Oryctolagus cuniculus: one gene and its partner. The protein of the gene in region 1 purifies or fractionates together with the protein of each later gene. This does not show direct contact. Links are inferred from orthologs where the notes say so. Each region holds a gene or a part of one and is shown on either strand. Other genes may lie near its edges.

Region 1 (4,323 bases):
CTGAAGCTGGGAGACCTGGAGCCTCCATCCGAGCCTCCCCTGTGGGTAGCAGGAACCCAAGTACTTAAGCCATCCCTGCTGCCTCCCAGGGTGCAGTCGCAGGAAGCTGGATGGGAAGCAGAGTTGGGACTCAAACCAGGCACTTCACTGTGGGCTGTGGGTGTGGGCATCCCAGATGGAGCATAACCACTGTGCCCAGCTGCTGCCCACTTCCTCCCACACCCCATGCTTTTGTCCGTTTCTGAAAGGTGCTTGCACATTTGATTCTGCAGACCAGCACGTGCACCTTGAGTTTTCCCAGTAGCTGGGAAGAGTTTGTGCTGCACCATCCTACTCTTTGTTTTGATAGTCTTTAGTACCTACCATCTTGTTGATCAGGGAGCTGATGGGGCATTGTTACTGGTGGTGACTGCTTACTGTGCCCTCACTTTTTGGCAGACCATTAATAATTTGTTTCGTGTCATCCTCAGAGCAGGCCATGTAGTAAATAGTAAATGAACTCAGTCTCATCCTGCCCAGTGGGATACTTCCGATTCCAAAGCCTGACTTGATTCTCATTGTATGATATCGCTCCCCATGAGAAAGTAAAGGAACAATTCTGATGGAGCAATTTCCATGTGCCAGGCGTTTAACATATTCCATTCGACCTCAGAGCAACCCTTGTAAACTTTTAGGAATATTGATCATTTCATACAGCTAGCTAGTTCCTGGAAAAAACAGATTTCAAACTTAGATCTTTCTGATCCAAAAGCCTGTATTTTTTTCCACTCTGCTGCAGCCAAAGAGTAATTTGACTGGAGATTAATGTTTTCTTTTAGAGGTGTATGGCCTGTATAAAAGATCCAAGCTGGAATTTGGGTCTCCTTAGCATTGGCTCAGACCAGCGTTTAGAGCTGAAGCCTTATCCCACTGCAAGGTTCATGGAGGTGTACCTCCTGGAACGTCGGGGAGTTTGGAGAGGAGCGTACATACGTCTGTCCACACTGCACTCTCTTCTCTTAGCTCCTGTTGAAGGAGATCATCCCTCTGTGCTGTGTAGCTTGGGCTCAACTTGGTAGTGGCCTGTGGCGAGTGTCACAGGAAAGACAGTTGTGGTGTCCATTGAGTAGGAAAACCAGCCTGATGAAGAAAAGCAAAAGAGTGGTTGGGAAACAGAGACAGAGACGGGAGGCTCTGGCGGGTGAGGTGCGGTGCTGCTGGCTGGCGTTTCCCTGCCACTGGAGGCAGGCGAGTGTGCAGGTGGTGTGGGCGGGAGGCCTGGGGGACTAAGATAAACAGCCTGCGCTGTGGAAAGCCTCGGGAAGGGAGCAGCTCTGCCCTCCCCGTGATAGTCACATGACCTCAAAGGAAAGGGGAGGGGAAGCCGCGTCAGGGGGTGTCTCACGTCAAGGATTCTCTTTGTAGGACATTGTTCTCCCTTAATTTACTTCCTGTTCTTTCTCTTCTAGCTCCCAGGGTTACTAGAGCTCCTTGTGGAATATTTCCGACGATGCCTGATCGAGATCTTTGGCATTTTAAAGGAGTATGAGGTGGGTGACCCAGGACAGAGAACACTACTGGACCCTGGGAGATTCAGCAAGGTGTCTAGTCCAGCCCCCATGGAGGGGGACGAGGACGACGAAGAACTTCTAGGTCCTAAACTAGAGGAGGAAGACGAGGAGGAAGTTGCTGAAAATGATGAGGAGCTGGCCTTTTCAGGCAAGGACAGGCCGGCCTCGGAGAATAACGAGGAGAAGCTGATGAGCAAGTTTGACAGACTTCCGGTGAAGGTCGCACAGAAGAACGACCCGTTTGTGGTGGACTGCTCAGACAAGCTTGGGCGCGTGCAGGAGTTTGACAGCGGCCTGCTCCACTGGCGGATCGGCGGGGGGGACACCACCGAGCACATTCAGACCCACTTTGAGAGCAAGACGGAGCTGCTGCCTTCACGGCCTCATGCCCCCTGCCCTGCGGCGCCCCGGAAACATGTCACAACAGTAGAGGGTACGCCTGGGACAGCAGAACAGGAGGGGCCCCCACCTGATGGCCCCCCCGAGAAACGGATCACAGCTACTATGGATGACATGCTGTCCACACGGTCCAGCACGCTGACCGAGGAGGGAGCCAAGAGTGCAGAGGCCACCAAGGAAAGCAGCAAGTTTCCATTCGGCATTAGCCCAGCACAGAGCCACCGGAACATCAAGATCCTAGAGGACGAGCCCCACAGTAAGGATGAGACCCCACTGTGCACCCTTCTCGACTGGCAGGATTCCCTTGCCAAGCGCTGCGTCTGTGTCTCCAATACTATCCGAAGCCTGTCGTTTGTGCCAGGCAACGACTTTGAGATGTCTAAACACCCAGGGCTGCTGCTCATCCTGGGCAAGCTGATCCTGCTGCACCACAAGCACCCAGAACGGAAGCAGGCACCACTAACTTACGAGAAGGAGGAGGAACAGGACCAAGGGGTGAGCTGTAACAAAGTGGAGTGGTGGTGGGACTGCTTGGAGATGCTCCGGGAAAACACCTTGGTCACACTCGCCAACATCTCGGGGCAGTTGGACCTCTCCCCATACCCCGAGAGCATTTGCCTGCCTGTCCTGGACGGACTCCTGCACTGGGCAGTTTGCCCTTCAGCTGAAGCCCAGGACCCCTTCTCCACCCTGGGCCCCAATGCCGTCCTCTCCCCCCAGAGACTGGTCTTGGAAACCCTCAGCAAACTCAGCATCCAGGACAACAATGTGGACCTGATCCTGGCCACACCCCCCTTCAGCCGCCTGGAGAAATTGTATAGCACCATGGTGCGCTTCCTCAGTGACCGAAAGAACCCGGTGTGCCGGGAGATGGCCGTGGTACTGCTGGCCAACCTGGCGCAGGGGGACAGCCTGGCAGCCCGCGCCATCGCCGTGCAGAAGGGCAGCATCGGCAACCTCCTGGGCTTCCTGGAGGACAGCCTCGCTGCCACCCAGTTCCAGCAGAGCCAGGCCAGCCTCCTCCACATGCAGAACCCGCCCTTTGAGCCAACGAGCGTGGACATGATGCGGCGGGCTGCCCGCGCGCTGCTCGCCCTGGCCAAGGTTGATGAGAACCACTCGGAGTTCACGCTGTACGAGTCACGGCTGTTGGACATCTCGGTGTCACCGTTGATGAACTCACTGGTTTCACAGGTCATTTGTGATGTACTGTTTCTGATTGGCCAGTCATGACAGCCGTGGGACACCTCCCCCCTGTGTGTGTGTGCGTGTGTGGAAAACTTAGAAACTGACTGTTGCCCTTTATTTATGCAAAACCACCTCAGAATCCAGTTTACCCTGTGCTGTCCAGCTTCTCCCTGGGGAAAAAAGTCTCTCCTGTTCTCTTACCTCCTCCTCCCCTGCCCCCCACCCCCACCTTTCTGTTCCTTGCCCTCACCTTAAACCCCTCAGGACCCCACCCTATTTGAAAAGACAAAGCTCTGCCTACATAGAAGACTTTTTTTATTTTAACCAAAGTTACTGTTGTTTACAGTGAGTTTGGGGAAAAAAATAAAATAAAACTGGCTTTCCCGGTCCTTGCATCAACGGGATGCCACATTTCATAACTGTTTTTAATGGTTAAAAAAAAAAGGAAAAAAATACAAAAAAAACTCTGAAGGACAAAAAAGGTGACTGCTGAACTGTGTGGTTTATTGTTGTACATTCACAATCTTGCAGGAGCCGAGAAGCTGGCAGTTGTGGACAGACTGTTCACTGGAGAGGCCTGTGCAGTAGAGTGTAGACCCTTTCATGTACTGTACTGTACACCTGATACTGTAAACATACTGTAATAATAATGTCTCACACGGAAACGAGAGAAACGCTGGGTCAGCAGCAAGCTGTAGTTTTTAAAAATGTTTTTAGTTAAACGTTGAGGAGAAAAAAAAAAAAAGGCTTTTCCCCCAAAGTATCATGTGTGAACCTACAACACCCTGACCTCTTTCTCTCCTCCTCGATTGTATGAATAACCCCGAGATCACCTCTTAGAACTGGTTTTAACCTTTAGCTGCAGCGGCCACGCTGCCACGTGTGTATATATATGACGTTGTACATTGCACATACCCTTGGATCCCCACAGGTTGGTCCCCTCCCGGCTGCCCCTTTCTAGTATGACGAGTTAACAAGTTGGTGACCTGCACAAAGCGAGACACAGCTATTTAATCTCTTGCCAGACATCGCCCTTCTTGGCGCGATGCTGTACAGGTCTCTGTAAAAAGTCCTTGCTGTCTCAGCAGCCAATCAACTTATAGTTTATTATTTTCTGGGTTTTTGTTTTGTTTTGTTTTCTTTCTAATCGAGGTGTGAAAAAGTTCTAGGTTCAGTTGAAGTTCCT
Region 2 (6,263 bases), on another chromosome or scaffold:
TGAGAATAAATAGACAATTTCAAAAAGAAAGGCCTGAGTTCCTCTGTCCAGGGGAGTCCCTGACTCCTCAGGAGGCCCGGCGCAGGCCCAGGTCCACGGTACCTGCACGGGCCTGGGAGGAAGGAGCCCCTGGAGAAGTGGAGGCAAAACCCCAGGCACAGTCCAACGTCCACCTCCCCCAGAGTCCCCTGGGAGCAGGCCTCTCCCGGGACCCCGGGACTACAGCCCAGCTCCCTTCACAGCTGAAGCCCTTATGTCCCAGCCGACAACTCCCGCACTTCCTTCTCTTCTCCAACCCTGCCCAGTGGTCCAGAGGGGGCCCAACATCCTGTCTGTCCCCCAGCCATCTTCCGGCCACCTGACTCTCCACCAGCTCAGGCCTAAAGCTCGACTCAGGGAGCACACAGCTGGCTGCCGGCTGTTTCCTGGGGCAGTGAACAGGGAGGGGCAGCAGAAGGGTAGCTTTAGGGTTCCCTGGGGCTGTGCAGAAACAACAGCCTAGGCTCACAGCCTGCCAGACCTCCCAGCTCGCCTCTTGGTGGGACACAGGACGTGCTTCTTTTAGTCTGAGTATGTCCCAAATACTGCATGGGACATACTTATGCTAAAAAAAAACACATCTATTTCTAAAAGTCATTTTGTTATTCATTTGAAATTCACATTTACCTGGGTGTCTTGTATTTTTGTCTGCTAAATTGGGCAACCTCAGGGACTGGGGAACCCAGCCCCAGGGGAAAAGCGTGCTGTTAATAAACAACCCAAAAGCCCCAGGGCTGACACGATGGCCCATTCAGAAGGCACAGTGGCCACTGATTGCCAGACTGGCCACTCAGGGGCGGGAGAACCACACAATAAAGACAAGGCTTTTTGCCTAAAAGGGGAAAAAAATGGGCAGACATTTGGTGCCGCCACTTAGGACGTTTGCAGTCCCAGGGTTGAGTTCTAGCTCTGCTTCCAATCCTGCTTCCTGCTGATGCACACCCTGGGAGGCAGCAGGTGATGGCTCAAGCACTTGGGTCCCTGCCGCCCATGTGCGAGACCTGGATTGAATCCCTGGCTCTTGGCTTCGGCATGGCCCATCCCTGGGTGCCGTGGGCATTTGGGGAGTGAATCAGAGGATGGAAAATCTGTCTCACTGCCTTTCAAATAAATAAAAATCAAAACAAAAAAAGGGGGGGAGGGAGCCAAGTTTCTCCAAAGTGCACCTCAGATAACGTTTACCAGGTACTCCAGTGCACAGGGCCAGGTGTGGCTGGACATGTGACCTCACTGGTTCCCAACAGCCAGAGGAAGCCGCGGGCCTTCTGGTCCGTGAGAGAAGCTGCATGGTGCACCCAAGGTCACAGCAAGGAAGCCTGAGGTCTCCAGGGACAGGCAAGGGGGCAGCCGCCCCCTCCCAACCCCAGGCCTGGCCCACAGTGGCCTGGGCAAGACAGAAGCTTGCAGGCCACTGCTCTGGCCCCCTCCCTCCTCCGTCTGCCCGCGCCGAAGAGCAGCTGGCAGCCTGGGCGCAGCTGTCAGGGTGCAGGAGTCTGCCCGGCTGGGAACCTGGGGCAGGAGGCCCCACCACGCCTCCCTGAGCAGAGAGGCAGCTGGCACGACCCCCTCCTAACCTCAGGCTGCGCACAGAAGGAGCGCCAGGCACAGGGGCTGAGACGGGGAGGGGGACACCTCCAGCCTCCCCCTGGGACTTCTAAGGAGAGGGGGGGCTGTGGTGGTTTCCCGGGGTTTGCCTTCTGGCCTGCAGCTGTTTCTGCCACCGTTTCAACGGCACCAGGTGCCCTGCGGGCCAGGGGAGCCCCTGTGGCACCCACGGCTTGGATCTCAACTTTGGAGAACCTCCCCTTCTCACGGTTCTGAAAATTCTTTGTCCCACTGCAGCCAAGCCCAGCCCACGGCCGGGCACTCGGCCATCCGCGCCGCAGCCCTTCCATAGGAGGCCCGGGAGCACGTGGACTTTATTGATTTCCCTCTTGCCTTTTTGTTGGATTTGACTCAGAAAGGACGGCTAACTTGTGACACCCTCAGAGCCGGGGCTGGCCCCAGTGCTGCTGCAGAGCCCCAGGCTGGCTCCAGAAATAACACCCCCCAAGTGGGAGCGCACCTCGGTGGGGCCTGCTCAGGCTCTGGACTTTTAAAAAAGGTGGAGGGGGGTTGCGGGTAAGGACTACTGGCCCCGGGGGCGCTGACACTGCTGCTCCTCTCCCTCCCGGACCCGGGTGAAGCCGTGGGAAAAAAAAAAAACGATAAAGTTGCAATCGGGGAGCTGGGAGTTTCCAACAAGTCCGACCCAACCTGGCGCCCGGGGCCTGGCCCCGGGGCCGCAAAGCGGACCCCCACGAGGCCGGCAGAACGCACGATCCTGCCCCGTGACAAGCGGGCCTGGCCGCGCCGGGCCGAATCCGAGCCTGGGGAGCACTCCCGGCCCACGGCGACCCTCGCCGCCCCCCGCGCGGAGAACAAAACAACGGCTCCCTCCGCAAAACAGACGCGAGCCGCGGGGCAGCGGCGGACGCGGCCCGGGATCCGGCCCCGGCCCCGGAGAGCGGGCGCCCGGCGCTCGCCCCCGTCCTGCCGCCCCGCCGCAGCCCTAGCTCCAGGCAGCCCAAAGCGCTAAATTTAAACGGCTCGCGCTCTGCAAACTCCGCAGACTCGAGGGCGCCGGGCCTGGGCGGGCGGCGGGGCGGGAGGCCCGGCGCGGGCCGGGGCGCGCGGGGAGGCGGCGGCGGCCCGCTCGGTGCCTGCACAATGGAGCTCGCGCTCTCCCCAACGCAGCCGCCGGCATCGCGGCCCCGGCGCGCGGGAAGCCGCTTTCATGTGACTTGCACAAAACGAAATGGCTTCTGGGGCCGGCCCCGAGCCCCCCTCCCGGCGGCCGGGCGCCGCGGCGGGGGGCTGCCCGCCGCTCTGGCCGCCCGGCCCGGGGCGCCCGCCGCCCTCAGGCTGCCGCCGCCAGGTGGGCGACAGGCGCGAGCGCACCTGGGCAGCGGCCGCGGCCCCCGCCGGGCGCAGGTGACCCGGCTCGCGCGCCGCCCGCCCTCGCCAACTCGCGGGCCCGCGGCCGGCCGGGCGGCCCGGGGCGCTGCGCCCGCGGCTCTCCGCGCCGGCTCCGGGCTCCCGGAGGCTGCGGCGCCGAGCCGCGAGCGGGCGAGACGGCGCCTCTGCTTACCATTTGCGCACTTTCTCGATAGCCGCCATGACCCTCTTGATATCATCTTTGGCCCGGCTCCTGGTCTCAGCTCGAACCGACCTGCCCGACATGGTTCTGGCGGGGACGGAGAGGCTGGGGAGCGCGCCCGCCGGGTCCTGCTGGCGCTCGGCGGCGGCCACACTCGCGCCCGCCCGCGGCCGCCGGCACACACGGCGCTCACACACCCGCGCGCCCGCGCACACACACGCGCGCACACAAAGCCGCCGCCGCCGCCGCCGCCGCCGCCGCCGCCGCGCCGGGCCCAGTGCGCACGCGCCGGGCGGCAGCTGCACCGAGCGGGGGAGCAGCGCGGCCTCCAGGCGCCGCCGCAGCCGCCTTCCACCCGGGGAGGCGCCGGGCCTCTCCCCGGGAGAAGGCCGGAGGCTCCCAGTGGTCCCGGGCTCCGGGCTCGCGGGGGCGCGCGGTCGCTCCGTGGGAGGCCGCAGGTGCGGGCGGGGACCCCCGGAGACGGCGCATTCCTGCGGAGCCCGCGGGGCGGCCCGGTCCGGGCCCGGGTGCGTGGCAGCGGGTGCAGTAATGCAAGTTTTCCTGTGGGGCTCCTGACTTCTTGGAGTTGCGGCAGCGGTTCCGTACGCGCGGTGATCCTGGAGAGAGTCGGGAAGCGCGGGTCTCTGTGCAGCCGCTGCCCTGTTTAACGCGCGGCCTCGGGCCGGCGCCTCCCCGTGCTGCGCCCTTTTGGAAAACGAGGCTTGTTTAAAAAAAAAAAAAAAAAAAAAAAAAGGTTCCTGGTAGCAGGGACTCTTCCTTTCCCTCGGGGAGAAGTGGCCCTGGCGTAACAGGGCGAGGGGCCACAAGTCGCCCTCCTGCAGGTAGGACCAGGCTCGGGCCCGCCGCAGCGGCCGCTCCAGTGACCCTAGCGGGTAAACATGGACTGGTCCCACCTACAAGGACTTGCGAGCGGAGTTCCCTCCCCATCCGGAAGAACGGAGCGCTGTGGACGACACGGATCAGGGTCACCCAGGTGTTCGGATGCGGCGATGCTCCCTGGACCAGATGTAAAGTCTGCCGGTCCGGGAGACCGAGTGGCCCCAGTGCTGGCTGGAGGTAAACCCGCCCAGCGTCACGCACTTCGCACGCGGGACACCGAGTCCTGGAGAAGTTCAAGGTTGCAGCCGTAGGTACTATAGTATGGGAAACTCGAGTTTCCTCCGTTTTAAAAAAATATTTGTTTGAAATGCAGAGTTCGCGAGAGCGAGGAAGAAGGAGAGAGGGATCTTCCCCCACTGGTTCACTCCCCAGATGGCCACAAGGAAGCCAGGAACCTGGAACTCCATCCGGGTCTCACCGCAGGTACCCGGGCTCCAAGTACTGGGATCGTCTTCCTCTGCTCTCCCAGGCACATTAGAAGGGCGCTGGATCGCTCAGGGAGGCAGCCAGGACTTGCACCAGCACTCGGAAGGGATGTGGGTGTAGCAAGTGGTGGCTCAACCCGCTGCCCCCCCAATCCACTCTGCTCCCAGTTTATTTGTGGGGGGCGAGCTACTTGGGAAATGGGGTGAGAGACTGCAGGCCGTTTCTTGGGCATTTCTTCTTAGCATCCTGAAATATAGCTGCTTATGACCTCAAGTCATCCTGAGAATTATATGGGAAAATACATGTATGTAAGGGCAGGTCCTAAGTCAGAGGCCCCCTGACAAATGTGGCCAACAGATACGTGCTTTGGGCCATGCAGAGCTTTGAAATATGTGTTTGAAACTAAAATAGAAAGATACCATGTCAGAAACCCAAGCATCAACTGATGAAATGGGTGTGTATTTCCACATGGTGGCAAACTATTCAGCCATAGAGGGAAAGAATCCACGCTGAAAGGAACGTGGCCCCATGCTCCATGGCGACATGTGAAGACATGCCAAGTGAAAGCGCCAGCCCCAAAGGATGAGTATTATCTGATTCCACTTACTGCTCACGAACACTGCAACAGCAAACGGGGGGGGGGGGGGAGATGCTGAAGGGAGGGGGCAATGGGGAGGGACAGCTACGGGCCTGGGGGTTCATTTTGTGGGTGGTAAAATGGTTCTGGAACAGAGTAGCAGTAAGAGTTGCATGACAGTGAAGGTACTCAATGCTGCTGAATCGCATACCTCGACATGGCTGCACTTAGCCTGGCAGGTGAGATGCCAGGTCACACGTTGGATGCCTGGGTTTGATTCTTGGCTCTGGCTCTAGCTCCCGACTCCAGCTTCCTGCCAGTGTATTCTAGGAGGCAGCAGTGACAGCTCAAGTTGGGTTCCTGACACTCAGGTGGGAGCTCTCCCTGAGCTTCCAGTTCCTGGCTTCAGCTTGGCCGCACCCTAGCCATTGCAGGCACTTGGGGAGTGAACCGCTGGGTGGGAGCTCCGTGTGTGTTTGTGTGCATCAAATAAAAAATAAAATGGCTATGAAGATCAGTTTTATGCTATGTGCATTTGACCACCTTAAAAAGGAACCCAAACACCAAACTTCTGTAGAGAACAGGTCTGCAGCCTGGGTGACTGATGTCACGTAGCACAAACAGCCTTAGCCGAGGAGCTCGGCCTCACACAGAGCTGTCCAGTGCACCGTGTGCCCACACAGCCTATTGGCTCATTGGTGTTACCTGTCTGCTCCCTGAAGGCATTTGTGTTTTTAATCCCTGATTAAAGCATAAAGCTTTCTACAAATGTTCTTTATAAATATCATGTCATTTTAAGAGTTCCCTGTCCTCTATATCTTTCAAACTTTTGTTCAAAGTACAGTTGTTTTATAATCTGTGTCTGATGATTTAAAAAAAAAAAAAAAGATTTATTTGAAAGGTAGAGTTACAGAGAAGCAGAGACAACAGCCAAATCTGGGCTGATCTGAAGCCAGGAGCCTAGAACTTCCTCCAGGTCTCCCATGTGGGTACAGGGGCCCAAGGACTTGGGCCATCCTCCACTGCTTTCCCAGGCACATAAGCAGGGATCTGGATTGGAAGTGAAGAAGCTGGGACTCAAACGGACACCTGTATGGACCGCCAGCACTGCAGGAGGTGGATTTACCCGTTATGCCACAGCACCAGCCCCTGATGATTCTAATACATGAAGGATCTAAGGGT

What was found. The genes of interacting proteins can lie anywhere in the genome.
Region 2: the proteins of ARID1A (region 1) and BCL7A purify together in Homo sapiens (affinity purification with mass spectrometry; 5 studies listed by BioGRID and IntAct, counting the BioPlex papers as one, with this or other methods). This does not show direct contact. The link is inferred for Oryctolagus cuniculus from reciprocal best matches to the Homo sapiens genes ARID1A and BCL7A.

The regions. Positions count from the first base shown.
Region 1 is NC_091438.1:144,719,090-144,723,412, reverse strand, and holds part of ARID1A (AT-rich interactive domain-containing protein 1A), read left to right. Parts: intron 1-1,448; coding exon 1,449-3,182; 3' UTR 3,183-4,323. UniProt on the Homo sapiens protein: Involved in transcriptional activation and repression of select genes by chromatin remodeling (alteration of DNA-nucleosome topology).
Region 2 is NC_091452.1:7,064,462-7,070,724, forward strand, and holds the start of BCL7A (B-cell CLL/lymphoma 7 protein family member A), read right to left. Parts: upstream 3,697-6,263; 5' UTR 3,262-3,696; coding exon 3,170-3,261; intron 1-3,169.